Caenorhabditis elegans: one gene and its partner. The protein of the gene in region 1 interacts with the protein of each later gene in a pairwise test. Each region holds a gene or a part of one and is shown on either strand. Other genes may lie near its edges.

Region 1 (15,428 bases):
AGTTGTCACGAGAAACAATATCGACGAAAAAGTCAGTGGGGCATTCTTTGAGTTGGAAGAAGAGAACCTGTAATTTATGTATTTGAAGTATTTTCTAATTGTGTTCCGTATGTTCTTACTCTGATAAATGACATGAACAACTCTTTCTCAGAGCCTAATGAATTTGGACAACACGACATCAAATGAATAATTCGTTTCCATTGCTCGAATCCTTCAAAAACTTGTCCCTGCAGAAAACAAACAAATGCAATTTGCATTTCAGCCAGCAATTGCTTCCAATCACCACCGAGAGCGCGAAGAAGACGGTAAAGACGATCAGAATATTCAATTCCTACTCGATTCTGGCTAACCTGAAATATTTTTATATTTATTTTTAAATACATTTTTAGAAAAAACAATTTTATTTTTTTATTACAAGACAGAAAACTAAATAGATTTGCCATATTTCAAGCAATTTCCCATGGAATTCGGAACTCTGATAATTTTTTTCTCAAAGAAAAAAAACAACATTAAACTTTAAAAAGCATTATAAAATTTTTTTTTAGAAATAAGTTTTTCGACAAAACTGGAATTATTGTAAATTTCATTAAAAAAATTACTCATACAGGAATTAGTATTTCAAATCAACTTTTTTACTGGTTCCGACATTAAATGAAAATAATTTAAATATTTAGCTATGTAATATCGTGTTCAATGGATACTAAGATGTTTTTAAAAAGAAACCTTTTGAATATAGCATATTTATAGATGTTACCCATGCGCGAAATTTCAGGTTTTTTTTGTTTAGAAAATCCGATACAGTATCCGGTCTCGACACGACAAATTTTTTGGAAAGTGCGATTGAATTACAAGCTGCAGAAATTTCGTCGATTTTGCATAATCTTTCTTACGATTTTCAGTAGATAAAAAATTTCATCGAAAAACTATGACAAATCGATGAAAATTCCGAAGAAACGAGTTCGAAAGTACAGTACTCTTTAAAAGGATTCAACAAAAATTTGTCGTGTTGACCAGGGGTGAGCGGCAATCGGCGATCGGCGATTTTCGTGATTTTTCGGCGATCGCCGATGAAATTTTATAGTCCAAGATAGACCCCTCTGAAGAAGGAAGAAGGTATATTTTCGGACTATTTTTCACTACTTTTCGAATTTTAAGGTATCAAGGAGTGCTTTTCGTTGCCTAATATTCCTGTTTTTATAAAAAATTATTTGAAAGAGCTCTTAAAATTAGGATTTTAAAATTGAAAAAAATTAGACGCACACTGATCGGCAATCGGCGATCGCCGATTTTTTTTTGGCAATTTGTGATCGCCGATCGCCGATTTTTTTTGGGCGGCTGCTCAGCCCTGGTGTTGACCCCGGATAATAATTTTAGGCACAAAAATCGCAACACTGTGTCTGGGTAATATAAAAAAACTAATTTTAAAACTTTTCTCATAACTCGAAAATTTATATTTTTAAAGCAAAAACGAAAAAAAATTTACCGTGAGAGGTGGTATATCTTGGAATCGAATTTCGTATCCCTCTCGAATCTTCATAATCGGTAATCCATGCTGATCTGTGAATCTCGTCCGAACTGGATTCTCTCGATCCACTCGATTTCGAAAATGACTGTCTTTGTGCTCTTTTTCTGCATTTTCCATGAACTCAGTCTCAAGGCTGACGAGCTCTGCTTGTGAAGTGATACGACCAAGTATGGGATGAATTCTTTCGACAGTGTCGGCCGTGATAAAATCAGTAAGACCATACCAGCTTCTATAGTTTTCATATGGATAGGGGGCTAGTGATGAATCCATATTCTTCAGTTGACGCTTCTTTTCAGAGATTTGCTGAAAACATACTACGACATAGAATTTATGAATTTAAATAGTTACATCAGTTGGAACTTCTTCATCTTCAAATGTTTCACTCTCTGTGTTCCATTTCTTTACCAAAATTTCCCCAGCTTTGAAGTTATGAAAGAATCCTGAAAGTAAAATGTTTCACAAAATGTAATATTGTCGCTATCTAACCAATTCTTGGAGCAGATTTAATGCTGCAATAAACAAAATGAACTCCAGGCGGAATCATTTTCAGACCCATGAACTTTTCTCCCGTCTTCCATGATTTGTAGTCAATACCGAACTCTGAAGCCTGCGGAAATCCCAGAAAAAGAAGAAAAGCTCCATTGCGATACATGTAGTCTACAATTTCAGGAGGCAATGCGCCACCCATTCGCATAGCTTGAAGCAAGATCGCAGTGTTGTCGCTCATCTAAAACGTAGTGCATGTTATATCTATAGATCTACCCGCATAATACCTTGACGAATTTTACATGATTGGAAAAACAACAAAGAAAAATATAACATAAGAAATTATTTATTTGCTTTCAACAAATACAGTGGATACCAAATTAGATTGGGTTCTCAATCCACTTGGTGAGTGGTCCATGCTCACGTTGGAGTTGAACTCCAACTCCGTCGGAGCGGAGTCTTCCTTCAGCACGCATGCGCTCGTAGTCTTCGCGATCCCACTTGGTGAATCCCCACTTGCGGGAAGAGACGATGATTTGACGTCCTGGGAACTTGAACTTGGCACGACGGAAGGCTTCAATAGCGTGCTTGACGTTCTGAACACAATTATTAGCACCTGATATTTCTAGTGGAGGAACTTACTCCTTCCTTGATTCTCATGGAGAAAAGAATATCTCCAATGTCGACACGAGCGACCAATCCTTGTGGCTTTCCGTAAGCTCCACGCATTCCAGTTTGGAGACGATCAGCTCCGGCACAGGAAAGCATTTTGTTGATACGGGTGACGTGGAATGGATGCTTGCGAACACGGAGATGGAATCCGTCCTACAAAATACAGGTTGGATGAAAAATTGAACTAAATCCTTGTCTTACCTTTCCGCAGTTCTTGACCATGTACTTGTTGGCGCAAATACGGGCGGCTTCGAGAGCTTCAGAGGAAAGATGCTCACGCTCGTTGGACATCATGTGCACACATGCTGGGAAGGTGTCAACGTTAGCCCTCTTGTTTCCCAAATCGAAGATTCTGATCTTCGCGTCCGGAACTCCTCTGCAGAAGCGGGACTTTGGGTATGGCTTGTTCTTGATATAGCGGTAGCACCGCGCTGGACGTCTACCCATGTTCTGAAAATTGAGAAGACTACAATAAATTACGACAAACGGAGAATATATATATATAGAAGAGAATCAAAGAACATGTTTTGTCACCATCACGCCAAGAATTGTCATCATTATTTCGAAATACTGTCAAAGCATTATTGATTCGAGAACTAAAAACAGTGGATAATAGGAAAACAATATCAAACATGACTTCGAATTTCGAAATGATTCAAACAAATTTCGTTTGCAATATTTAAGACAATGAGAGCTATAGTTTTAAATAACTGACGTTTGAATCATGATAAATCAGAAAAAAATGTATAAAATAAAACAAAAAGGCAAAAAATCCACTGCTTCAAGAGAAAATCGAGAGAAAAATTTTAGGCCAAAGAGAAATTGAGGACAACACTAATGTTCACTGCCGTCGGTGAACTACATACAAAGCATAACAATTGACGACATTTGTGCACCGTACTCATTTCGAAATTTCGGACAAACAAAAAAGATTTTTCATTAAAATCCTATTTCGCGAAGGCATTTTTTGCAATTAATTCATTACTCAAGGCTAAAATTGAGTATTTTTAGAACTTTATAGCTATATTTCACAATGCCCGACAAAATTCCTGAAATCAAGGTGAGTTCTGAAGGACTTTTCTGAAAAAAAATACAATTTTAGATTGTTCCACTGGGTGCGGGACAAGATGTTGGACGGTCGTGTATTCTTATTACTATCGGTGGAAAGAATATTATGGTAGATTGTGGAATGCATATGGGATACCAAGATGATCGAAGATTTCCTGACTTTTCGTAAGTTCTGCAAGCTTATTCAATTCAAATCTAAAATAATAACTTTTTCAGGTATATTGGTGGAGGTGGAAGACTAACTGATTACCTAGATTGTGTCATCATTTCACATTTTCATTTGGATCACTGTGGAAGTTTGCCTCATATGAGCGAAATTGTGGGATACGACGGACCAATTTACATGACTTACCCTACAAAAGCCATTTGCCCAGTTTTATTGGAAGATTACCGAAAAGTTCAATGTGACATCAAAGGCGAGACAAACTTTTTCACCTCAGATGACATCAAGAATTGTATGAAAAAGGTTGTCGGATGTGCACTTCATGAAATTATTCACGTTGACAACGAACTTTCTATTCGTGCATTTTATGCTGGACATGTTCTTGGAGCTGCAATGTTTGAAATTCGACTTGGAGATCATTCTGTTCTATACACTGGTGATTACAACATGACTCCAGATAGGCATCTTGGAGCGGCGAGAGTTCTTCCTGGTGTTAGACCAACTGTCCTTATTTCTGAGTCAACATATGCGACCACAATCCGTGATTCGAAAAGGGCAAGAGAAAGAGATTTCCTTCGAAAAGTTCATGAATGTGTGATGAAAGGAGGAAAAGTAATTATTCCAGTCTTTGCCTTGGGACGAGCGCAGGAGCTGTGTATCCTGCTTGAATCATATTGGGAGAGAATGGCTCTCAACGTACCAATCTATTTTTCCCAAGGTCTTGCAGAACGGGCAAATCAGTATTACCGACTTTTCATCAGCTGGACCAACGAGAACATTAAGAAAACTTTCGTAGAAAGAAATATGTTCGAATTCAAGCATATCAAACCAATGGAAAAGGGATGTGAAGATCAACCAGGACCTCAGGTTCTCTTTTCTACTCCTGGAATGCTTCACGGAGGTCAATCGCTCAAAGTTTTCAAAAAATGGTGCTCAGATCCTCTGAACATGATCATTATGCCTGGTTACTGTGTCGCTGGAACAGTTGGAGCAAGAGTTATTAATGGCGAAAAGAAAATTGAAATTGATCAAAAGATGCACGAAATTCGACTTGGTGTGGAATACATGTCGTTTAGTGCTCATGCTGATGCTAAAGGAATTATGCAGCTTATCCGTCAATGTGAGCCTCAACACGTCATGTTTGTGCACGGCGAAGCTTCAAAGATGGAGTTCTTGAAAGGAAAAGTGGAAAAGGAGTACAAAGTACCTGTTCACATGCCAGCAAACGGAGAGACTGTAGTGATTTCTGCTCAACCGAAGCTTGATATACGAGTTCCACTTGAGGTTTGTGTGTTTCTAAAACAAATTGAACTCAAATAAAAAATTCCAGAAAATTGACAGAAGCCTAAGCCTCGATCCGAATCCTGCCAAATCGGAATGCCCATTTGTCGCCGAGCTCGTTTACGATCAAGAAGTAAGATTATTGAACTTTATTTTGCAATAACTTCAAATAATTTTAGAATGAACGACTGAATATCATGTCTACAGCAGAATCAGAAGATTTGATAAAAGATAAAAACTGCATGCCGATCACTCTCTCATTGTCAGAAATCATCAAAGGCAAAAAAGTGAATTGGAAGGAATTATCAAACGAGCTTCTACTCTATGATCCACACTTGCAACTAAAAGACGACGGCATTGAAATGTTTGATGGAGAAATCACTATTTTAGCAAACAATTCTGATGAAACAGAGCTTGAACTGATCTGGGACGAATGCCGTGAACAGTGGTTCAAGGTTATCCATAAAGCCATCACTGATCTCATTTCACCCGAATCCTCCCCGGTCCCTCCTGCTATCTCTGTTAAAGCATAAGATTTTAACAAATACTTTTTACGGTTACGATTTTTTTACTTGTAAAAGTTGGAAATAAATTTAACATTCATGAGAACATTTGATACCCTCGCAAGGATGCATTTACAATAAATAGAATAAAACAATTTTAGCGAAATCTAGTTGTACAGGTCATCATCGTCATTTCCACCGGAGCCACCGTTTCCTCCAACAGGTTGTCCAGCAGAAGGAGCTTCTCCTGGGAACTTGAAGTTGTTTCCAAATCCACGAGATTGTTGAAGAGTCTGGGCGAACATCTCGTATTTTCTGATATCGTTATCAGTCACGGAACGTCTAGCGAACTTCATTGCCTCCTCGAAGTGTGCTCTAGTTATTTCTGGAACTGGGTCAGCCAGTTCATCCTCCATAAGTTCTTCTCCACGAGCACTTCTGTCCTGACGCTCCTTTTCCTGACGAATTTCCCGTTCAATTGATTCACGAATGGCAAGCTTGCATGCTCTGAAAATGGTATTAATTGACAAATGCGAATATTTTTTTAACTAATTTTTATAACAAACCTTTGGCAAATTTCGGTTAAGTCGGCTCCCGAAAAACCGACGGTGTTCTTGGCAAGGAAGTTCAAATCGAGATCGGCGGAAAGGGGCGTTTTGCGGAGTGAGGCCTTGAAAATTTGAAGTCTAGATGCTTCGTCAGGAAGAGGAATGTAGATCAACTGATCGAGACGTCCTGGACGAAGAACAGCTGGATCAATGATATCAGGACGATTGGTAGCTCCAATAATGAACACGTTTTTCTTGGCATTCATACCATCCATTTCAGTGAGAACCTGGTTGATAACACGATCGGCAGCACCTCCAGCATCTCCTACACTTCCTCCTCTGGCCTTTGCGATCGAATCGAGTTCGTCAAAGAAGAGAACGCATGGAGCGGCAGCACGAGCTTTATCAAACACGTCGCGAACATTAGCTTCGGATTCTCCGAACCACATAGTAAGAAGCTCGGGTCCCTTGATGGAAATGAAGTTAGCCTGGCATTCATTGGCAATCGCTTTAGCGAGAAGTGTTTTACCGCATCCTGGTGGACCGTAGAACAAAACTCCACGAGATGGTTGCATTCCGAACTTGAGATACTTTTCTGGATGCTCTACAGGGTATTGAACGAGCTCCTGAAGTTCGCGCTTGACGTTTTGAAGACCTCCGATGTCGGACCAAGTAGTATTTGGAGTTTCCACAACGGCTTCGCGAAGAGCAGATGGGGATGATTTTCCCATTGCGAACTGAAAAATGATTAATGATACGTCTCTTAAGTGCAAAAAAATGATAACTTACTCTAAAGTTCTCCATAGTGACCGCCAAAGAATTGAGAACTTCAGCATCAATTGTATCATCCTCCAAATCAATCAGCTCCATCTTTTCGCGAATTTGCTGAATAGCAGCCTCAGAGCAGAGGGAAGCCAAATCAGCTCCGACAAATCCGTGGCATTCGTTTGCAACTTGTTCCAAATCAACGTCTTCTCCTAATTTCATGTTCTTGGTATGAATTCTGAGAATTTCCAGACGGCCAACAGCATCAGGGATTCCAATGTCAATTTCACGATCAAAGCGACCGAAACGACGAAGGGCTCCATCAATAGAGTTAGGACGATTAGTAGCGGCGATCACGACAACATGAGCGCGAGTTTTAAGTCCATCCATAAGTGTGAGAAGTTGCGAGACGATACGCTTCTCGACTTCACCGTGAGCCTTTTCTCTCTTTGGAGCAATCGCATCGATCTCGTCAATGAACAAAATAGCAGGTGAGTTCTTCTCACACTCGGCAAATGCTTTACGAAGATTCGATTCCGACTCTCCAGACATTTTAGACATAATTTCCGGTCCGTTAATGAGGAAGAAGAATGCTCCTGTTTCGTTGGCGACAGCTCTTGCGATCAGTGTCTTACCGGTTCCTGGTGGACCGAACAGAAGAATTCCACGTGGTGGTTTCACTCCGATAGCCTTGAAAAGTTGGGGATGGCGAAGTGGGAGCTCAACCATTTCCTTGATCTGAGCGAGTTGTTTACGAACACCTCCGAGATCATCGTATCCAACTTCATTGAGAGCCTCCTCTTCTTCCTCTCTTTTAATTGGATCTCCTTCATAGTGAATAACAGTATCTGGAGCAACAATACACGCCGGAGCAGGATCCGTCTCGACAACTTTGAACTCGACAGTTCTCATTGCAGCTTGAACAGTGAATATGTCTCCCTTGTGCACTGGGCGGTAGGCGTCGGTAAAGTATGGCCGAAGGAAGACATCAAATAGATTTCTAAAATAAAAAATACAGTCTTTATTTCTCCGTGGCAAGAACATACCCAGTCAATCCCTCGATTGTGTCATCAATTGGAAGAACATGAACCCTTTTTCCATATTCGAGTTGAGCACTTGAGATACTGACAACGTCTCCAAGACGGCTTCTGAGGTTGTTTCGAACCACTTTGTTCATCTTGATCTTGTCATTCGGGCAATTGTCCGCATTAAGAACGATAGAGACAGTCTCTCTTCGTTTCTTTCCTTTCAAAATCACCGAATCTCCACGGAAGAGTCCCAGCTCGTCCATTTTGGCCTGTGAGAGCATGACCATGGAGTTGTCGTCATTGTCAGACTGATCGATAATGAGTCTGTTTGGGCGTTTTTTGTCCTGAAAGAGTTAATTATATTGAAATGATTACCTTGGAGAAAAACCTACTTTCAAGATAGCCGTAGCCAGCTCATCATTCTTCTTTTCCTTCTCGTCTCTCTGAGTCGGAACTGAGGCCATGGTTAAACGACTTCTCTGTAAAATCTTGGAATAATAAAAAAGAACGGAAGATGGGGGTAGAACATAGGAAAGGCCGAAACGCGAAAGTCTAATAAGAAAGTAGAACACGGACAAACTTTTCTACAGTAGGTTTTCAAGATAAAACTTCAAGTATAATTTCTGATCTAATTCAGTTAAAGAATCGAATCAAAGAAGAGATGCAAAAAGAGCCAATAGAACAAAATTAAGAAATATGGAAGATGAGACACGTAGACTAAGTTCTCTACAGAACACCCCAATGCTGCCTCTACATGATGACAAAACGCAGCCTCTCATTCACACTCTCTCCTTGGGGCGCATTTGCTTTCGAATAATTTCACAAAGCGTTCTACCGTTTTATTCGGGTCATAAGTAATAATTACATTGTTAAAAATATATGTGAACCAGCCGTCTTTAGCGGAACAGAAGTTCAAGGCGAACCTAAGTGATGTGACGATCTAGAAAGCTAGAGGTAAATATCTCGTTCAAAAACGAAGACATAATTTGAATAACAAGGAGACGAATTCAAAGAAACGTACGATATGAGTGATATTTCAGTGGTAAATTTCCGCAGTTTCCGCAGAGTCAGTGGTAAATTTCCGCAATCGCATAAATATGGAAAAGATATTATACGGCAAAGATAAATACGATAACACACTCTGGTAATTGTTTAACAACGACTGAGATAGCGAAAACCTCCCAGCAACTGTTTAAAACATAATTATTTATAATGAGCAATGCATTGCGCAATGAGAAAACAATTTCTAGAAGAAAAAACTGTTCGTTAAACGTACGCGCTGCTTTTTTTGTTCGAAGGAGCGCGTTTGGTGTTCAGAGACTTGACCGTTTTTTGGAGTTCAGCTATTTTAGGAATCCGATATCTGGAAATAACTGAGAACGCCTGACTTTTATTACAGGAAATAATGATTTTAACAAAATGGCCAACCAGGAAACCACATAATGTATAAAAATTATCAAAAAAAAGCATCAGGTTTAAGACAACTTCATTTTTTTTCAGCGAATCTGCTTCTGGAAGAAACTTCTTGCGGATTCGTGGTGTCTCCCGCTTTACAAAAATCTAAAGTTCTACAAAACGAAACATTAAAACAGTTTTTTTGAGCTTCAATCCATGTTTTTTTTTAAGTTTTCGATAGTGTTTTATTGTTTCAGTTTCCCAAATTACAAATTAAATTAAATTTTTTTGGAATATTTAATTTTCTTTAAAATTCACAGTGTATTGTTTTCCTCATGTAAACTGGATTTTTGGTCTTTTATCAATAAAAATTATCGATGATCTGAACGATTTTCTGAATATTCCGACGCATTAAATAAAAAATGTGTATATATATGTTTTCAACATGATGTTTCCCTCGTTTGTTTACAAAAATTCCAACCTTCCCCCGTTCTCTCGGTCAATCATTCGTTTTTCACTATTTTGCTGTTTCTCTTTTTCTCGCTCAATTTATGTTATTGATTCATTTCAATGCCAAAACTGATGATATAAAGCGTCGTTTTCTCTATTCACAACTCCTGTTTTATATTTTGCTTCCATTTTTTGAAGTATAATTGTTTCCAGAATGATATAATGAGTTTCCCGGTGGCATTTTTGCTCGTTCTCTTCTTGGTTCCATTCACATTTGCGACAAATAATTTAGTTGTTAGACAGAAAGAATTGGAAATTGTAATTGGAGGAGAAGTCTCTGTTAATTTCCAGATCAAGTGAGTTATTAATAATATTTTTCATCCAACAGGTTATAAAATAAAAACAATCATACGAACATGTGCTGTATTCAATCAATATAATTTTCAGAAACCACACATCACAATCATTGAACGCAACACGTATCTCCCTCTCGCAGTCACCATACATCTCCCATCCTGATGCTATTCTCGTTGACAATTGGAATGCTAATGTGACAGTTTTAGGAAGCCAATTGGTGTCCGGAGCTATTTTAGAAGCTCTCAATTGTACTACAGATGGGTCAATTACTTGTCCTCTGGAGTGAGTCGATGATTATATATTGTAAAAATTAAATCAAAACTCATTTCCAGTCTTGAAGATGCGTTTGCTAGAATCACAGTTATTCGCTCTCACTTTCTTGCCATTTTGATTCAAATTGTTGGATGGACATACTTCTTCGCATGGAGTATTTCGTTTTATCCCCAAATGTATCTGAATTTCAAAAGAAAAAGCGTCGTCGGGCTAAACTTCGATTTCTTATCTCTGAACCTTGTCGGATTTTGTGCATATGCTATTTTCAATCTGTTAATGTATTATAATAGTCATGTAAAGGTGAGAACTAGAAAATAAATAACTAAAATTAATTCATCTTCTTTCAGAATGAATACAATATTGTGAATCCTCGGTCACCGCCACCAGTACTTTTGAACGATGTTGTGTTCGCTGTTCACGCATTTCTTGCCTGCTTTATCACAATTCTTCAATGTTTATTCTATGAACGTGATAATCAGAGTGTTTCTTCAAAATGTATCGCCCTTATGATTGTGCTGATCTCTTTTGGATTCTGCTCCGCTGCCGCCACGGTTCTCAGGAAAATTCAATTGCTCTCGTTTGTGACCAGTTTGTCGTACATAAAAATGGCTGTAACCTGCTGTAAATATTTCCCACAGGTTTGTTTCATATTGTCCATTTGTAAACAGTATTCTAGCCTGAAATTATTTTTTATTATTTTTAAATTACTAGTTTTTCCAAAAAAGTTTTCAAAACTTGACCGCGAAATTTTGCGCCAAAACTACGGTATCCGGTCTCGATACGACAGATTTTGTTTAACTCAAAAAGTTGTGCGCCTTAAAAAGTACTGTATCGTCATCAAAAATTCACGAAAAAAAGCTGGGAAAATGATGTTTTATCGAAAACATGTTAATTTAAATTATAATTTTATTCAATCGAAAATATTTTTATCCAATCGTAGAGAAATTATCAAAAAATATTTAACTATTGAAAATTAATTTTAAAAAATACAAGTGATCTAAAATAAATTGTAAATAATTTCAGGCTTACTTCAACTATACCCGAAAAAGTACAGTTGGATGGTCAATCGGAAACATCATGCTAGATTTCACAGGAGGAACTCTCGATATTCTTCAAATGATTCTTCAAGCAGTTAATGTGAACGATTGGTCTGCATTTTATGCGAATCCCGTCAAATTCGGACTGGGATTTGTCTCAATATTCTTTGACATCATTTTCATGGTTCAACATTATGTATTGTATCCAAATGCAGAAGTGAGTCAATTAGTTTTTATCCCTTTAATTATTTTAAAAAATTATGAATAGAACAAAAAATTTCAGGAACCAAAGAAAAATCAGGAAACGAGTCGTTTTTAATAGTTATGATCAGGTTCCTTGAATGTTTCTATATGTTTTAATTCAAAAAATAATTACTTACCAACAACTTTATGTTAGATTACTAAATCTTTAAAAATTAATTGAATTCTGATATTTTAAATAATATAACTTTTTGAAGGTTCCACACAATGAATATCATGGTGTTGACAATCCCAATCCAGACAATATTGCTCGTGATGCTGAACAATATGCCGGCGACAGTGAATCGATGGAGTCAACGGAACCTATTATTGTACATGACTAGATCATAATATTCAAATTCTTTGCCCTCCTCGGTGCCTTTTGTTGTACATATTCAAAATTTCTATTGCATATCGTGATTTGAATAATATTGATTCTACGGTGATAAACTTGTTCAGTGAGAAATAAGATTTTTAAGCTTTTAATCAACAGTTTATTGCCTTTGCTCAAGATCTTTTACAACATGGAACGATTTTTAGAAGAGCTTTTTTGGAACAATATGAGGACAGACCCTATGAATCTAAAGAAAGAGAACCACATAAAAATTGGGAAAACGGGAGAAAAAAACGGTAGGAACGAATAACATGGAAGTTTGACAAAAATAATATTATCAAATCAAAAATGTAGAAAAACGATACGACCCATATCATCCAATCAACCGAGGCGCTAGTAAAAAAAACAAAAAAAGAAAATGAAATCATAAATATAACAAGATGTGAAAACCAGCGGACACCAAAATTTTAAATGACAATTGAAGATTGAAAATGAATTTTTGAGAAATGTCGTTCTTGATTTCTTTTCAATATTCGATTACCAAATATATTTTGGAATTTGTGTCATGGATCCGACAGTCAAAACTATTAAAGAAGTGTAGCAAGAGGGTGAAAGCACAGGGAGATGGTAGCTGGCTCAAAACGAAAGAAAAACATAAGATTCGAACGAGAAAGAGAGCGGGAGACTTGATATTTTTTACAATAACAATGAAATGCACCAACATTCAAGATTTGAAAGGACATTTTGTCAACGACTTTTGAAAAGAAAGCGCTGATCTCCAATAACTACTAAAACAGAAACAAGATTCGTCATTAGAGAGCAACGCTGTGATGGAATTTCGTGACATAAATTATCTTCAAGTATTTGAATGCTAGATACCCAACAAAAAATGTACAGATTGCAAGGGTATGGAAAAAATTTGAAAAGTAAGAGGGATCAGACAATGTCATCTTATGAATTACCAGGCATAAAAACAGTTATCTTCACTAATTAATACTTTTCAGCTTTTTAAAATTCATAAAAAATCATCATCATTCTCCACACTCACCTTAAAGACATTTTTTTGAAGGAAACACAAATCTCTCACACTACAAGCTGGAACAAAGAAACAACGAAACCCATGTGAACGTAGAGTTTTGGGCACGGAAAACCCAATCTTCCATGTTGAAGGAAAGTGTCTAAATGGTGGATAGAAGGGGATTAAGGCAGGCAACAGTAAAGTGGGAAGAGGTGAAGAAAAAGCTGGGATATGAATTTGAATTCAATGAAAATGGAGGTGTTAAGGGAAGAAATGGAGGTGACGTGATACTATAGGTAAACCGATTATTGTTGAGAAAAGTTAAAAACTGATCACAACGATGGAATACTTACAGATATATAAGCGCAGTCGGAAAGAATGGAATCGTAAAGGAACGAAGAAACATAAACTCGCAAATTGTCGGAACACCTGTTTTGTGTCTAGAAGTCGGTGAAGGGCGGGAACGGGGAAACTGAAACGCCGAATAAATAGTTCAACGATGAACAATGATGAACGGATATCAGCTGAGAAAAAAGTGAATGTGGTTAACAACAGAAATAAGGAGAAGAAAACAGAGTAACAAGGGTCAACAATGAAATGGAGAGATATTTTTTGAAAATTTTTGGTGGTTTTTTGAGTGAAAATGGGTTAATATAACAAAAGGTTCCCTTGTCACGAAAGCCTTCAGACATCAGAGAAACAGTTCTTCGGAAGACTTTTCAGTGGGAGAATTCGGCAGGAAGGGATGAGAAATGGAAGACGGACGGTAAAGAACCGGGGCATATGAGACAAAGTATGCATTCCAGAAGGATATGCTTAAAGTGCACGATGAGGTGCGGCAGTGCTATAGCCATTGAGCAATTCGACAAGCGGACGCCAACGAGCTCTGTTCGTGGATAGTGATAGAACAACTCGTTGCATTTCAGTTCTCTTCGTGGCCGTTGAGAAATCTGGATATTCTCGTGCAAAGTCGAAGTTGTCGAGCTAAACATAATATTTTTTATAACGATCAGTCAAAAAGAATGAACTTACATCTTTTGGCGGGCTCAGCAAGAAACGTCTAGCAAACTCTGCAATGAAAATACCACAGTCGAAATTGTTGGTTTGTTGAGGCATTCTTTGTGGTAAAATGCACGGCAATGGAAAAGGCATAGCATTTCCGGTACGTTTCTCGTATGAATACTTCATGAATGATTCGATTAATGTAGCCATGTTCTGTAGGTTGTTAAGATCCGCAGTGAGCTGCGAATCAAAGATAACCGTGCGAGCTTGAGCAGTGAACGGATGACATATGACTGCCAATGACCAATGCTCCCACTCGTTTACAGGAACCACAATGTAATCAAAATCTTGGAGATCGAAATCAGCAACGAAATCATGCAAATCGCCGAATTTGAGATCCATCTTTTGCTCATCACTCATCATCTTCTCGTCTTCAGAATCAAAGGCGTGCTGCCGTAAAGAAAGATTATGCCAAAATATCGATGGAAGAACAGTGACATTTGAACCATTGCTGTCTGGTAGTACGTGTTCAACAATGTGATTCAAATAGAAGTCGATCATCGTATCGTTGAGAAGATCCTGAAAAAATATACTAATGAATTTTGTGAATCAAAAATATTTTAAATGGTTTCTCCAGACTTTTTTTTGAGATTGTACTACAGTACTACATCAGAATGTATATAAACTTGAACTTTAAATAATGAATCATTCGACTCGTCAATTTAATATAACATATTCTCCTGACCTCTTCGCGCATTTTTCTGTTGTAACAATATGTTCCTTTGTTCGAATAGCCGATCAAAGATCAGCAGTTGCTGCTGCTCATCTACGAGTTACGCCGTTCGGTCTTCCCCCATAATCCACAACACTAAATTACATTGCTTGTTACTCATTATTTTACGATATCCTTCAATCATCTGAATTTCTTCAAGAGTATGGGAGGTGCGTGCGCGAAAAATTTGCGCGCGCGATTCGAAAAAAAAACCAGTTTATTACTACCAGATGACCCTGAACTGTCGCAGCTGCCCACACAAAAAGAAGACGATGACATCGGAGGTCTACGAAAATCGGAAAAGGAATTTAGACGGCGACCCTTGTCATCTGGATGAAATTAATCGAATTGTTCTCGAACGGTCTTTGTTTACATGTTATGATGCGAAGGTAGCATTAGATTATTCCCCCACTCCACGACAACTTCTTTTCATTGGCTGGCGCTGTGCCAACATCTCAGTTCGCTCAACACACAAATTCCTCGCACACATCGAATTCAGTTGTTGTCTCGT
Region 2 (15,428 bases), on another chromosome or scaffold:
TTGTTCTTCATTTGGTAGTGCAAAGTAGAGCAATTTTTTATTATTTCGAGAAAGTTTGAAATGAGCATTTGGTCCTGTCACAATAATAGGTCCATGATATACGTATTTAACTAGAGCTACCGTGAATTTTGCCTTCTTATATTGAACATCTTCTACTTGAATAACATCCTTATCGTGACCCATTTCTATGGATTCTGCTACGAATACGCAGACTTTACAATCATCCGAAAATATATGGGTGAAGTATTTCCAATCTTTATCCGTTTCCGTTTCCATTAACATCCAAAGTTTATTCCTCGACACTAATCCACGTGATCTCATGTATTGCCGTTGATCTGGGCACTCTAATGTCTCGTAAATGACCCAAACTTCTTGTGGTTCGTAATCGGAAGGAGTTGTGATACGTGCAGTATTCACCCGGAACTGAAGCATTTGTTGTGAGATTGTGACAAAAGCTTCATGCATTTGACGAGTGGCCAACGGGACCTCCTCGTCTGTAGACATTATAGTTGTACACGTATATGATGAAGCTGCTAAATATTGACTGCCTGTAAGAAATGTAAGAAATCTCTAGGAATTTCAGATGTTCAATTTAGAAATTCCACTAGAAATAATTAAAAATGGGAAAACCAAAACCGTTGAAAAACTGAAATCCTCCAGAATATACAAACCGTTCATATATAAGAGATTTACAAGGCAATATCACGGGAAAATGAATGAAAAAATACCGGGGGCAGGAAAAGAAGCAGCCGATGAATAGATAAATACATATAGACATTAGTATATTTACTGAGACAGTGATTTCTCGAACCAGCGGACCATGTTGATTGCATAGTCGGCCTCAACGTTGACCTCATCAAGTGGATGGTTCGATGGTGGGTAGGTGAGAACCCTGAAAAAAAAAACAATTTCTCTTGCAAACAATTTTTCAAGAATACCTTGCCGGAACTCCACGAGCCTTGAGAGCACGAATAAATGCTCTGTAGTGAGGAACGACACGAAGATCCTTTTCACCAATGAGCAAGAGATACGGAGTAGTTGCGTTCTCCACATGAGCAATTGGCGAAGAGTTGAACATTTTCTCCCGTTGTTCGGTGGTCGTGATCTTTGTCCAGTCTGGATATTCTCCGGTTCCCTCGAAATAGCACCATTCAGGAATATCAGTGATATCATGCATTGTGGCAATGTTGACGACTGGATTCAAGGCAACACAACTTTTGTAGAATCCTGGATATTGTCCAATTAAATGAGACACCAGGAACCCTCCATGAGATCCTCCGAAGAGTACAACCTTGTCTCGAGAAATACGTGGATTCTTATCCAAGACGGTGAGAACTGCGTTCTGAATTAGTATTAATTACATTGATAATACATGCGGTGTAGTCGAATAAACGTTCTAAATTCTTTGACAAAACGATATGCAAAACAGCACAAGAATGTCTAAAACGGATGTTTAAAGGCTTCAAACTACCGAAAATCATTATCGTTGTTTAAATTTCGCGCGTAAATGTGTTTCATGGATTTTCAGCGGATAGATTTATTCATTTTTTGAATCTAAAAACGATTTTTCGTATTATTTTTGACTTTTGTTAAAAGTTTTGTCAGAAAACATTTAAATTTTCAATATAAAAACACGAAAAATCGACTAAATTCCAGAAAAATAAATTAATCGGTAAGTGGGTTAATTTTTGCGCGAAATTCAAGTTATTCGGGCGAAGAGGTTGATTTTCGGAACTTTGAAGCTTTATAACATCCGGTTGAGTCTTGCCATAACACAGAGAAAGTTTTAAAAAAATGTTCTCCTTACATGAACATCCTTAACATCCATATCTCCGCAGTTTCCAGGCAGAGCACGAATAAAATCGTCACCAAATCCGAGTGATCCACGGAAATTGACTTGAAGGACGGCATATCCAGAGTTGAGAAGAGTAGTAAGATCCCGACGTGGCCAGCTGAACTTTTAAATGAAAAACGTTTAAAAAAGGGAAAAAGTAACTCACCTTGCCATGGATGCACCATGAGGTCCACCATGGGGATTCACAACCATTGGAAGATTGTTTCCCTCATTTGGAACAATCAGAATTCCTTCGTAAGTCGCTCCGTCACGCTCAAGATTCACAAATTCCCAGGAGAACTCGAAGAGATGACGACGTTTATCAACAGCCTTCGCCTCGTCGATTCGCACCCAAACCATTTCCTCGGCTTTTCCTGTCCCTGGAAGTTGTCCCAGAAGAACGTTTGGTGGGCGATTCGGAGCAGAGACGACTGCGAGCACTTCGTTATCATAGACATCAAGAAGAGACCAAGTTCCAAGGCATATGGAGTGATTGGTTAATTTTTCAATGTTCCCAGTTGCGATGTTAACGGAAAGCAGTTCCAACTTGCTGCACCAGGAACTTGAAAGGATAAGACGCTTGGAATCAGTAGACCAAGAACGAGTTGCTGTCTGTAAATATTGATTTTTGAAAAATCGGTAATTATATTGCCTTATATTCTGTCCCTTCCTCATGTACATATCGAAATACAGGAAAAAACTTTAATTCCAAAAATCTTCGATGAAGCAGTTTTTTGCATTTTCAATATTTTGAGACAAAATCTCAATCTTCGGAGATGAGTTCACAGTCTTTTGAGACAAATTAGTAATCTTTTGAGACAAAATCGAAATCTATTCGAAATTTTTAGTAATCTTATATGGACGCACTATTTCTCGTATTTACTACAAAAATATTGCTATTTAATATTTTCATATTAGATTTGAGTTGCCTGAGTACCTGTGGGAATGTGAATCCCTGGAATTCGTCTGCAGATCTCTTCTCCTTCACAATCGGAACAATGATTCGCTTCTCAATGTTTTCAGCAGAATCTACTTTCAATGGCCACTCAACAGCTACCATTTCAAGAACTGCTTGATGTGGTCCATCTGCTGCTCTCTGGAACCACACCAAAGTATTTCCGTCGGGCGAAAATTGCAATTCTTCAGCCGAGATTTCACCCTCACTGATCTTCGTCAGCTTTGCGGTCGCAAGCTCATAGTAGTAAAGATTTCCACGGCGATTGTTGCAGTAGATTCTGCCAAGCCGTGGGGTGTCCTGCTCTTCGAGGCCAAAGAAAACAACGCCAGCATCTCCTGGAGCCCATTTCGTGTAGGATGGGGAAATATTCGCAGGAATTTGATCGAGAGCTGTCACATTTCCACTGGAGATGTCGACAATGCAAATCACCGGCTGCTTGACACCATCGTTCTGCTCTCCCCATGACTCGGTGAGCTCGAATTTCTTGCCCTGCAAATAATTCTCTAGAAATCGAAACTTATATTTTTTATTTAATCTATACCACTTTGCTTTCGAAAACCTTCGTCTCGTTATCCCACTCTATATCAGCATCAAAGTATTGCGAAGTTTTCGAATTTCTCTCAGCCACGTACAAAACATGCCCCTCCCCGTACGAAAAGTGAAGGCATCCGAACGGCATACAACCACCACCGTGAATTGTTCCGTGCTTTTTCTGAGTGGAAAGATCAGCGCAAAGCTCTTCCACATGTTCCTCAAGATTGTAGATCTTCAAATATTGTTTCTTATCGTCTCCAGTTCCGATGGTCAGAAGTTGAGCAACACGGGAGTTTGATGCGGAATACACACTTCTTTGGTTTCTGAAATTAGAATTTATTCCATATTCATAAAGATAGAGTAGCGTCTGCCGGGGGTATTTTCTCATACCAAGAGAAAAAATATCAACGAACCGAATAAAACCGCTAAAATAATCATGGAATCTTTTCAATTTGGCTGAAATTGAATTATATTAGAGCACCCGCGCATTGTCTACACTCACGCAAAAAAGGCGTCACAGAAAACGCTCCCAAATTCAATTTTTATTAAAAGAAGGAAAATTTTAACTAGTTTTACAATTTCAACTACATATTTGTGATAAATAATCGAAAAAAGCATGAAATACCTGAAAGAATGAAGAAAATGGAATATTCAAAAAAAAAAGTGAATTCAGGAGCGTTTTCTCCGACGCACTATGTGCGTAAGTGTATGCATCACGCGGACACTCAAATATTATGCAGTTTTCTAAAGAAAGTATTGGGTTTTCCGCGAAATGAAAAGAAAACATAAAAAATTTAGCGAAATTCTATAATTATTTCAGCAGTTCTATTCGTCATATTGTCACTGTTCTCTGTTATTTTTGGCAAAATTCCCACAGACTCCATTCAATCTCCGAATAATTGTTTACTAACTCATAATTACACATTGGCACCGAAACCGACGTCATCAGATACCGATCCGTAACTTCCGGTCCTTTTTTTCCAATCAAGCTGACACGTTGCTGACGAGTCAACTTATTCAGCTGCATGGCACGGTTATCCCAAGTCGTGGTGACTTTGATGAACTCATCTCCTGACTTCTTCTCGATTCGTCCTTGAGTTGGAATCGGAATTTGTGCCAGATCGCCATAAAGATCCTTGAGCTTTTCCAACGCTCTCACATCATACTCAGCTGCACTTGTCACCACAGCAGACGACATTTTACGAAGGAGAAGACGCTGCATTTCGGAAAAGTTTTCGGAGAATTTTAGAAAAGGCAGAGATAAATAAAAATGGGAAGGTAATTCAAAAATGGATAGAAACCAATGAGATAAATGAATAAAAATCTAAAATCGAAATTTTATTGATTCATTTCGCAATGTGAGAAAATGTTTCGAGGGGTAGGTCAAAAAGTAACAAATTCAACAAAAAATTCACAACAATAGAAAAAACATAAATTTCATAATTCTTCAATCAACGGTTTCTTTGTAATTTCCGGTTTCGAATCCTCTCCTTTTGACTGAAATGCTTCTGGAAGAGCTTCGACATTCTGAATTCCGACATCTCTGTCATCAACTGCGCTGTTCATCTCCTTGAACACGTCTAAATCAATTTCAATCCTCTGTGTACTACTCGCTGTGCTCTTTTCGTCAGTTGTGACAGGTACCTCTTCCGAAATCGATTCTGAATTCGAATCGCTGTCGTCCGAGCTGTCATCCTCGACATTTTCAATATGAAAAGCGTCAGCTGACGCGTTTTCCGGCATATTTCGATTGGCTTCTTCCATTTGAGGCAGGAACGATTGTAATCTTAAATTTCGAATTAATTTTTCTTAAAAATTAAATAATTGCTTCAAAGTAACCTGGTTAATAAAGAAGATGGCCCGACAGGTGCGATGATGGGTTTTCCATTTAAAAAATTGGAGATCGTGGGATCCTGTGACATCTGAAAATGGTTTTTGGAGAAGCACAACTGAAAAAAGATGCAGTGGGCGGAATTTCGGCTTCTTCTTGATAGAGTGAATAATTTTCAAAATAAAAATCGATATACAACGAATAGAGAAACAGTTAAAGTGCGGTTCTGTACAAAATCTTTAATATGCTGCTCGAATCTTTTTGCATCTTATAAGTTAAATACAACGAAAGCGATTAGGCGAAATAAAACATCAGCAGTACCGGAAAAAAATAATGACAAACATATCACACTAATAGCCGGGAATTATATTTTTAAATTATACAAAAATTAGTCGGAAGCTTCAAGCTCCTGGATAATTTCGATATGCTCATCGGCAACGATTTGTCCATAATCAGACAGGTTTTCAGCGAAGACGACATGAAGAAGAGCAGCTGGAGCAAGACTGAGTTGAGCCAACGATGCAGATTCATCCTCCACGAGTTGACTGGCAGCGTCACGAAGAGTGAATTCGGATGTCGAAAGAGCATCGGAAAGAGTTGAAGCAACGAAGACACGGACTGCGGAAAATGGTTCATGGCAACCAAATACTCCCTGGAAAAATAAAATAAAATAATTAATCACTTGAATTTCTGGAATATACATACCTGCATCAACAAATTTCCAGGCAATCTGACACGAATCAACGTATATTTGTAGCGATAATTGGTCATTTGTTCGTCTTTTTGTCTCATTTCCTTCGTACGCAATGTCAGCATCTAAAAATTCAATTTATTGTGTGATTTTTCAATTTAAAGCTCCACTCACTCTCTCCACCTGCATCTCCTTATTTCTCTGTTCGGCTTTGAGTTCAGCAGTCGACAAATTGTAAAAATCATCTGCCAACTTTGGTGCTTTCGGTTTTTGCCCCTCTTTTAGCTTGAAGATCTCTAGATTTCTAGCAACCTTTATAGGCACAGCCTGCCCATCCTTCAAAGCTTCCAGAGCCTCCACCAAATGAACATCTGATGGTTTTGTGAACACAAGGAACTTGTCTTCTCCTTCAGATTTCTCAGTAAATCCAACAGCTTCAAGGAATGCACGTCCTCCAACTACTGATGCAACTCGTTCTTGGAATGCCTTATTTCCCAAACGAATTGATTTGTATTTATCCTCTCCTGGGTGTTCCAAAATGTTTTGACAATACTTGCAGATTGTTTCGATGGCAGTCTGAAATTTAGAAGATTGTTTGTTTTTCTACCAAAACAACGAATTTCGTACAGTTTAGGTGAAACGACCGATTCGCAGATTTACAAAAATCCGTGTTGATTTTTTCTTTCTGTGCGACGCTGATTTTTGCGAAATTTGCGGATAGATAGTTTAATTTCAACGGTAATGTGACAAAAATGTCACAAAAACTATGATGGCGGTTCAAAATTTTGAGAAAAAAAAAACGGGCAAATTTTAGCGAAACTCTTCAATTTGCCGAAATATTCCGTTAACAAAGTAACTTTTTTAGCCTATTGTTAGCTAAAAATGATCAAATTGGCTAAATAACGAAATAACGTTATTATAACATGTGAGAAACTATTACAATAGATTAAAAAACATTTTCCGACCGCTGCAACACACAAAAGTTGACAAAATTGGAGATTTTAGCCAGAATGAGTTCATTTTTTTTCGATATTTTGAAATTCTGAGCATACACAAACCTCCTTGGGATGTTTCTTATTAAGTGAATAGAGCATCAAAACTGCGGCAATCACTTTATCGTTTTCATCATCCGCCTCGCTGATCTGATCAGAAAGGAAATTTTTGATATCTTCAAGAAGATCTGCTTTCGAGCGAATATGATGCTCACCGAGCAACTCGGAAGTGTAGAGAACACGTGATATTGCGGATGAATGCTCGAGGTGTTGCTCACGGTCGGGTTGCTGCAGTGATGAAGTCCCAGAAATGTTGAGATCTTCAACCTGACGTCTCTCTTCTTCCAGCTCTCGTTTTGCAATCATTTGAATTCTTCGTTTTCCAGCATTTTGTTGAGGTTCATTCTTCTGCATCCGTTTGAAAGCAGCCTGAGCAGCAATATCAGCGGCCGCGACACGATCAATTTGGCCTCCCTGGGCGGCTCCAGCGTGGGCAGAAGGCTGCGAAGATGACTCGCCGGATGACAAACGAACACCTTCACCGCTCTTTTTGAAGTGATTCTGGACTCGCTTTTTGTTGAGGAATTTCTTGAAACTATTCATTCTTCTTTCTCTGAAATAAATTGGAATGGTTATCAGTGCAGAACTTGTTAAATATCTTACTATTTTTTTCGTTGCTCTTATTTCTCGCTTTCTCAATGTTCTCTCTTATGATAAACTCCTGAATGATTGGTGAATATCGATTCCACGCAATGATAGTGCCAACAGAGAAGATGAAAAGTAGAATAGAAAGAAAGAGTCCGAGAGCTACCTGAAATTTTCAAATTTTGGCCATTTTAGACAGAAACAAGAACAATAATTCACGTTAAAATTTCGAAAATCTCAAAAACATGTTCTCTAACGCACTTGTTTTTTATCCAACGAATAATTATCACAGAAGATAATCAAAGCACGATAAACGTTTTCTACTCCGAATGCTTCTGAGGAATCTGGAAGCGCGTCGGAGCTCTGATAAGCAACTGAATTTGTGCTCAACGGAGTCTGCTCAGTTGTCGGCTCGGCGACCAGAGGCTCTCCCATGCAAGAATAGCTGGAATTGTAGTTCTTTTTCAGAGAGATTTGCGGAAATTAATGATTGCGAAATAGGACAGAAGGCGATGACGACATTTGTGATATTGCACGGTGATAAACATATATTTTGGGTTGTATACAAACTTCAAACTTCATTTCAGAAAATTTGAAAAAAAGCTCATCTCGAAAACGCTATAAAAAACTTGGAGTTTTTCTATTGGAGAAAACTAAACTGGGGAAAGCTTTCGGACAGAAAAATATTATCTGCTGTATTTTTCATGATGTCGTTAATTTTGTGACTTAATAAACTACAAAAAAATGTAGGTAAAACACTTTTGCGTGAAAAGTTTGTGATTGTTTTCCCAAAATACGTTTTTGCGGTTAAATGTTCGTTTTGAGATGTTTATCTTACAATTCTTTTATATTTTGGACAATAATTATATTCTATGAAGTAATCTTTGATTCTGAATAACTTTTTTCCGAAAACAATTCGTTAAAACAACAAAATTTTAGAGAGAAAAATAAAAAATAAGCAAAATAAAAAATAAAAATAGCGAGTGTCGTAAATTGTGTCGCCAAGTCCGCAGTTACGTAACCTCGCGCCGCGCTCTTGCGATAGCAAACCCCGCCCACTTTTCTGTGCACTCCACATTTTCGTCGATTTTTCATTGAAATTTTTCTTCTGTTATTTTGTTTATTTTTGTCGATTGACGACATAATTTTAATCTCAAGCGCTGATAAAATTATTATTTCCAATTTTTAGAAATCACTTTTCATCAAAATACTCACGAAATCCAAGCAAACTGTTTATTTTGGGATAGTATACTCATTCTTCTTAATTTTTTGTTAAATTCCATTGAAATCTGACATTACCTTATGCATATTTATGTTCTTGTTTTTTCTACAATTTTTGCAGTCCTCTTTGCTTCTGTATTTCTCGTAACTTCAACTTTCCAAATTATTTCGTAATATTTTCAGCAATGCCGAAGAATAAGGGAAAGGGAGGAAAGAATCGCAGAAGAGGAAAGAATGAGAACGACTTCATGAAGCGCGAGCTCGACCTCAAGGAGGAGGGACAAGGTAGATTTTATAACTTCTTTCCCGAAAAACAAAAGCATTAATTCCAGAATATGGACAAGTCTCAAAAATGCTTGGTAACGGTCGTGTTCAAGTGTTCTGTTTTGATGGAAAGCAGCGTGTCTGCCATATTCGTGGAAAGTTGAGGAAGAAGGTTTGGATCAACGTGGGAGATATCATTCTCGTCGGTCTCCGAGATTATCAAGACGACAAGGGAGATGTTATTCTGAAGTACACCCCAGATGAAGCTCGCCGTTTGAAGAACGAGGGACTTATCCCAGAAAACGCCAAGCTCAATGAGAACGATGAACAAGACGAGGGAGAGGTTGAGTTCTGTAAGTTTATTTTTGCTGAAAATTAATGAAGTTCAATTTTTTTTCAGTGGATCACGTCGGAGACGAGGGAGAGGCCGGAGAAGCAAAGTCTGACTCAGATTCATCAGACAGTGATTCGGAGAAGTCTGACGAAGAGGCAGGATCGGATAAGGAAGAAGAATCGGACGATGATTCTGAAGAGGAATCAGACGAAGATTCAGATGATTCGGACAATATTCGGGAAGAGGACTTGGCAGCTGGTCGTGGATTTAAAGAGGACACTCGTCGCGGCGGAAATCGTGGTGGCAAGAACAAGTACGGAAAGAGACGCTAAATTGATTAAATTATTGGTTTTTAATTGTTTCCCCCGGTTTCTGTTCTTTCTCCCCCTAAAAATCCATTGTTTCTCTTTCGATCCTTTTCAGACATTATCTTCCCATCTTCTCTGTCTCCCGAAATTCCGTTACTTGAATGCTACAAAGTGAAATAATTCGATTGTGGTGTCCGATGATCAACACAACCTCAAGGTTTCGGTCCATCGGACACCACTTGATGAAACAACTCATTTATTGCAAATTATCCCGTATTCCACTATTTTCCTTTCATTTATATTGTTTTCTGATAAACTTTTCTTGTTATGGGTTTAAAGCAGCACACAACTCTCGACCTTCAAACCGAAAAGCAGGTGAAACATTTGCATCAAAATGTCACAACTCGCGGCCACGTGTATTCATATAGTAAAAATTATTTATTTCAGTTATTTTAAGCTGAATTTGAATGAAATGATTGACAGAGTGCTTCTTTATAACTTATCAACTTCTGCATTTCCCAGCTATGATAATGCGACTAGAATTGATTTATATTTCTTTCTTATAGCTGTTGAGCAAGTTTTAGCTTTGAAAATCCCGTAATATTACCGTCAAATTCCAGAAAGTTTGTCCATCCATCAATAATCATTAATATTGTAATTTCATCAATTGGGATTTTTACAACATCATTCCATTTATTCGTTTTATCTCGAAATTCAATGTTAAAATCGTCCGTAATCTTGATAATGATAGGAATCGCTATTTGTGATATATTAGTGATGTTTGTCTCTATTATTTATAACTATCTTTATTTGATTTTGGAATTTAATGTGAAACCCTGGTAAAGTACATTTATTCAAAAGCTTAGTTCCACAGTACTACTACAGTAACCCAACGTAGTAAAAGATCTATGTGGTTAAATCGTAGTTAAAGAGATCACGTAGTAAACAGTACTTGACTTTTGTAACCCGATGTTAAATCAACTCATCTTTCCACTTCCAGTGAACCACCTGCACCACTTTCATTCTTTTATATGTACTGGATCAATGTAGTAATTAATGATTTGTTCCGTCGAACATCCACGTGGCTCAGCGTAGTTATGGCCACAATCAGACTGATCGTCTTGAAGTTTTCAACGAGAAGAGCATTTCGAAAAGTTAATTTTCCCAAATTCGGATTCACTTTAGTTATTGGAACGTTGTTATCAAGCATTCCATTAACTGTAATATATTATTTCCGATACGATATCGTTAAAATTGGAGACTGGAAGCCTATGAATAAGTAATCCAGATTTAACAACCTTTGCCTAATTAAAAATACACTTTCAGTTGCACATTTGCAACGAGTTATCCAGAATCTCGTGTTATCTTCACTTTGGTACAATCCAAAGTCTACCAGGCTAACGATGGACTTGTAGGAAAAGTATATCAATTGATTAATGGAACAATTTCCAAAGTGGGATAATTTTGTTTTTACTAAAGCAATTAACCAAGAACTAATTTTTGGTTCCTAAAAATAAAAATAATTTTCAGCTGTTTCCATGTTTTCTGCTTCCAGTTCTAACCTATATGCTTATTGTCGAACTCAAAAAAGCCAAGGATCACCAGAGAATGTTAAATTTAACTATAAGACCAGTAATTATCAATGAAACCCAGTCAGTTGCCAGTACAGAAAGAACCACGGGGCTAGTCGTATTTATAACAGCTTCTACATTTCTTATTGAAGTTCCAAATGGAATTGTTCGTGTTTTACAATTTGGATATACTGACTTGGGATACTGGTGAGGGTTTGAATAATTAGAAATTAATTTTGGCAATATTTGAAAATAATGAAAACATATGCCACCCGAAAGTTAAACAAACATATTTAATCTATCGTCTGTTCTTAATTATAATGATAATACAAACTATACGACATGTTTATAGCGAATATAATTTCAAAGGATTAACATTTTTCCACTTTTTTGCTGTAATTTTATGCATTTAGTGAAACCGTAATAATTCTGGTTTGTTAACCCTATTAAAAAAGGGATCTACATTTAGTTCAAATGCATTGATGGACTCCAATTTTTTTCAGATTTTAAGTGATAACGTGATAGAATAATTGGAAATATTTGTGTGGGAATTCTTTTTTTGAGAAATCAAAATTTTCAGGAGAATGGCAACCTCCGTTGCACAATTTTCAAGTGCCTTCTTTGTTCTACACGCGGCTCTTCAAGGCGCCATCTTCTTTCTGATGTCATCACAATATCGGAGGGCAGTTTCAAAAATATTCAAGAATGATGTAACCATCAAAGTTTGGGCTCATTAAGTTACAAATTATTTTTATTCCAGCGACCACCCATCATCATTGCAGTCAGCTCTAGCTACACCTGATCACAATTCCACTTTATTGATATTTTAATTTAAAAAGAAATTTAACTGTCCTCCGAAAAATGGAAAATAAACTCAAATTGAAATAGTGTAAAGATGAAGTGAAATATTTTAACATTTGATGACGGTTTCACTATATTTATAATAACAGAACAATCTATGAGACTTGTTCATGACAAAATGATTTTTAGAAAATGACATGTTTATAAAACCTATATACCGTATTTCTTCTATTAATATGGCTGCAATACTATTTTTCGAAGGTCTCCCCGCTTACAATACTAACTGACTCAATATTTTCCTTGTTTTTTTTTGTTGAGCAAAATTCCTGAAGCTCAAGCTTCAAATTTCAGCACCAAACGACAGGTGAAACAACTGCTGTTATAACAACAGCACACATGCAAGTGGCATTGATTAAAAATTATTCCGTTCAATTTGGTAATTCTTCCCAAAAAAAAATGGATGAGAATACCTATAACCTAGCGACTTCAGCATTTCCAAGTTATGATAATGCGACTAAAATTCAACTTTATCACTTTCTAAAAACCGTCGAGTAAGTTGAAGCTTTTTCAGCTTAAATTCCAGATCATATTTCATTTTTGTTTCAGAAATTTTGTTCATCCATCTATTGCCTTGAATATAGTATTTTCCATTATTGGCGTTTTTACCACATCTTTCCATTTATTCGTTTTATCTCAAAAATCAATTTTGAAATCTTCAGTAATTTTGATAATGATGGGAGTGGCTCTTTGTGATATACTTGCAATGGTGGCTTCTGTGTTTTATAATATTTTGTATTTAATGATAGAATTTAATGTGAAACCTTGGTCAGTTTACCACTAAAAGATATAGGCCAGTTATCGATGTTCCTTATAAAAATCAAAAATAGGCTCCACCTATTTCTGTTTTTAATCCGATTGTCTTGTACTACTTGTTTATGTTCTTTAACCTGGCGGAGTAATTTTTATAAAATTTCCACAATTGATCTACCTACTGTGCCTATTTTTTCAGTGAGCCTCCTTTATCTCTTCCACCATTTCATATGTACTGGATTAATATAGTAATCAATGATTTTTTTCGTCGATGTTCCACGTGGCTCAGCGTAGCCATGGCTTTAATTCGCTGGATAGTTATGAAGTATTCAACTAGACGTGCATTTCGAAAAGTCACACTTTCAAAGTTTGGAGCTTACATTTTTATGGGAGCACTTGCTCTAAGTCTCCCTCTCACTTTTATATTTTATTTCCGATACGATATTGTAAAAATTGGAGACTGGAAGCCATTGAATAAGTGATTATATAACTTAAAATAATTATTGATTGATCTAAGTTTCAGTTGTTCAAAGTCTGCTAATTTTACTGTTTCACTCAATATTTATAATCTTGTGCAGTCGGAAGTGTACACAGCCAATGACGGGCTGGTTGGAAAAGTTTATCAACTCATAAATGGTACATTTTCAAAGGTAAGTGATTAATTGTACCCTCCATTTTTAAGTTCAATTAATATAAATTAAATTTACAAAATTACCATAGCTCCTGACTCCTTTTATTTGTTTTTTCAATACGATTCCATACGAAGATTTTTCAAAAATTTCTAGTTTTTTACGAAATACCAAAGCAATTGCGCGGTCGATTATTTTTTTACTTTCTGCTTTTTTGCTATCAATATTTGAGAAATTTGAATGAAAGTGTAGTTACAAAAATATTTGAATACGTGGTTTCGGATTTGACCAGCAGTTTTCGTTTTTAAAGTAGGAAGCACCCAAGTGAAGGAGGTCCAAAGAGGATTACATCTTTCCTCAACTTGACATAAAACACACAGATAAGAATTAATTTAACTTAAACACAAAACCTCTAACACAAAAAACATAATTCCCCGAAATGTGCTCAAGAAAAACAGCTGTTCAATTTCGTTTATTATGGTAACTTTATTAAAACACTTAAAGGTGGTGTAGTAGATTTTTTTTATTTCTTTATTACTCAAAATTGTCTGAAAACACCGAATTTCATAATGAAGTTTCTTGAAAAACTATTGAGGAAAAAGTTATGGCCTCTCGAAAAATGACCTAAAATTAGTGAGTGAGAATTGTCAAATTTTTTACCAATTCTCTTCGTCCATCGACTTTTAAATACCTTAATAAAGTTGAAAACGCAAGATAATCGACCTGTATACCCAAAACTAGACGACAATTTCAAAAAAAAATTGTTTCCAGCCGCTGCGACAATGATAAGTTGGTCAAATTTCAAATTTTCACTAATTTTAGGCCATTTTTCGAGAGGCCATAACTTTTTTTGGAAAAGTTTTCAAGAAGTTTCATTATGAAATTCGGTGTTTTCAGACAATTTTGAGTCTAATAAAGAAATAAAAAAAATCCGACTACACCACTTTTAATACCGCGAACGAATTGTCCATAGTCAAATTTCAGATCATACAAGAGCGATATGAAACATAATTTTCCAATTAATTAAAAATATTTCCAGCTGATTCCATGTTTCCTTCTTCCAATCCTAACCACTCTTCTCATTGCTGAGCTCCGTAAAGCCAAGGATCACCAGAGAATGCTCAATTCAACTACACGGCTCGGAAATTTCCCGGAAACATTTTCACAAGGAGTTGCGAGCACAGAAAGAACCACGGGGCTAGTGGTATTTATGACTGTCTCTACGTTTGTTATTGAAGTTCCAGGCGGAATTGTTCGAGTTTTACAGTTTGGATATACTGACCTGGGATACTGGTGAGGGTTTGTTTAAATAAATACTAATTTTGTCAATTGAAATTGTGAAATTTTGTCAAATATTACTATAAATCTAAAAAACATGTACTAGAATCGAATCTTCTTTGACCACTGAAAATTTACATATTTATTGAAACAGTAATATTTACATCTATAATGAAACGGAGGAAAAGTTTATGAGAAAAGGCTTTGATACAGCGCCAAAAATTATATAATTTGATTTAAAAAATTGCTTTGAAAACTCTGACAGTGAACACTCCTGTTAGAAAAAACTGTTTCATGTCAAATTCTGAATAAATAATTCGTTAACTGTTTTCCAACAATTCAAATTCAGGAGACTTGCCACGTCAGTTGGCCAGATTTGCAGTTTATTTTTCGTAATACATGCGTCTCTTCAAGGCGTCATATTCTTCCTGATGTCATCACAATATCGGAGAACAGTGTCCAAGATTTTTAAACGAGATGTAACTTTCAAAGTGAAGATGATTGAATTTACATATTGTTTTAATTTCAGAGACCCCGCGTCGTGATTGCTGTAAGCTCACATTTCAGCTGAGTGATTAGGGATTTGATAATAGAAATATTGTGTTTAAAAGTTGTACTTCTTCCAGTAGATCAATCAAGATAAATAGTGTATTGCTTTAATTCAAATTGGAACGACGAACATTGTTATTTAAAAAGAGTTTCAAGAAGAAAAAAAACAAAATGTGAA

Evidence for each region.
Region 2: the proteins of cdc-48.2 (region 1) and ubxn-6 interact in a two-hybrid assay, tested with the Caenorhabditis elegans proteins (one study listed by BioGRID).

Annotation. Positions count from the first base shown.
Region 1 is NC_003280.10:8,131,586-8,147,013, reverse strand, and holds cdc-48.2 (Transitional endoplasmic reticulum ATPase homolog 2), read right to left. Parts: upstream 8,519-15,428; 5' UTR 8,504-8,518; coding exon 8,432-8,503; intron 8,384-8,431; coding exon 8,058-8,383; intron 8,012-8,057; coding exon 7,036-8,011; intron 6,984-7,035; coding exon 6,265-6,983; intron 6,206-6,264; coding exon 5,866-6,205; 3' UTR 5,784-5,865; downstream 1-5,783. Other genes in the region: F10B5.2 (Protein AAR2 homolog), read right to left, coding at 1-67, 120-350, 1,484-1,828, 1,874-1,965, 2,012-2,213; rpl-10L (Large ribosomal subunit protein uL16), read right to left, coding at 2,392-2,607, 2,654-2,836, 2,885-3,130; ints-11 (Integrator complex subunit 11), read left to right, coding at 3,717-3,743, 3,786-3,916, 3,968-5,198, 5,245-5,328, 5,375-5,728; ctns-1 (Cystinosin homolog), read left to right, coding at 10,107-10,240, 10,332-10,523, 10,574-10,814, 10,862-11,152, 11,538-11,768, 12,010-12,135; ulp-4 (Ubiquitin-like protease 4), read right to left, coding at 13,960-14,127, 14,176-14,724. UniProt on the Caenorhabditis elegans protein: ATP-dependent chaperone which probably uses the energy provided by ATP hydrolysis to generate mechanical force to unfold substrate proteins, disassemble protein complexes, and disaggregate protein aggregates.
Region 2 is NC_003282.8:4,802,045-4,817,472, forward strand, and holds ubxn-6 (UBX domain-containing protein 6), read right to left. Parts: upstream 7,444-15,428; coding exon 6,907-7,443; exon of another isoform or gene 6,425-6,906; coding exon 6,023-6,424; intron 5,974-6,022; coding exon 5,863-5,973; intron 5,810-5,862; coding exon 5,546-5,809; 3' UTR 5,382-5,545; downstream 1-5,381. Other genes in the region: dpf-7 (Dipeptidyl Peptidase Four (IV) family), read right to left, coding at 1-504; dpf-5 (acylaminoacyl-peptidase), read right to left, coding at 787-892, 939-1,342, 1,808-1,952, 2,001-2,446, 2,772-3,281, 3,334-3,649, 4,238-4,524; H06H21.11 (uncharacterized protein), read right to left, coding at 4,764-5,112, 5,166-5,248; H06H21.37 (uncharacterized protein), read right to left, coding at 7,440-7,453, 7,504-7,651, 7,747-7,920; eif-1.A (Eukaryotic translation initiation factor 4C), read left to right, coding at 8,892-8,991, 9,039-9,323, 9,371-9,636; srw-95 (G-protein coupled receptors family 1 profile domain-containing protein), read left to right, coding at 10,085-10,185, 10,233-10,451, 10,613-10,891, 10,939-11,065, 11,143-11,390, 11,764-11,893, 11,944-11,985; srw-94 (G-protein coupled receptors family 1 profile domain-containing protein), read left to right, coding at 12,441-12,535, 12,591-12,809, 12,994-13,272, 13,318-13,444, 14,463-14,716, 15,051-15,180, 15,231-15,272. UniProt on the Caenorhabditis elegans protein: Probably acts as an adapter for ATPase cdc-48.1 and/or cdc-48.2, conferring substrate specificity. Involved in the lysosomal clearance of cellular material in diet restricted conditions.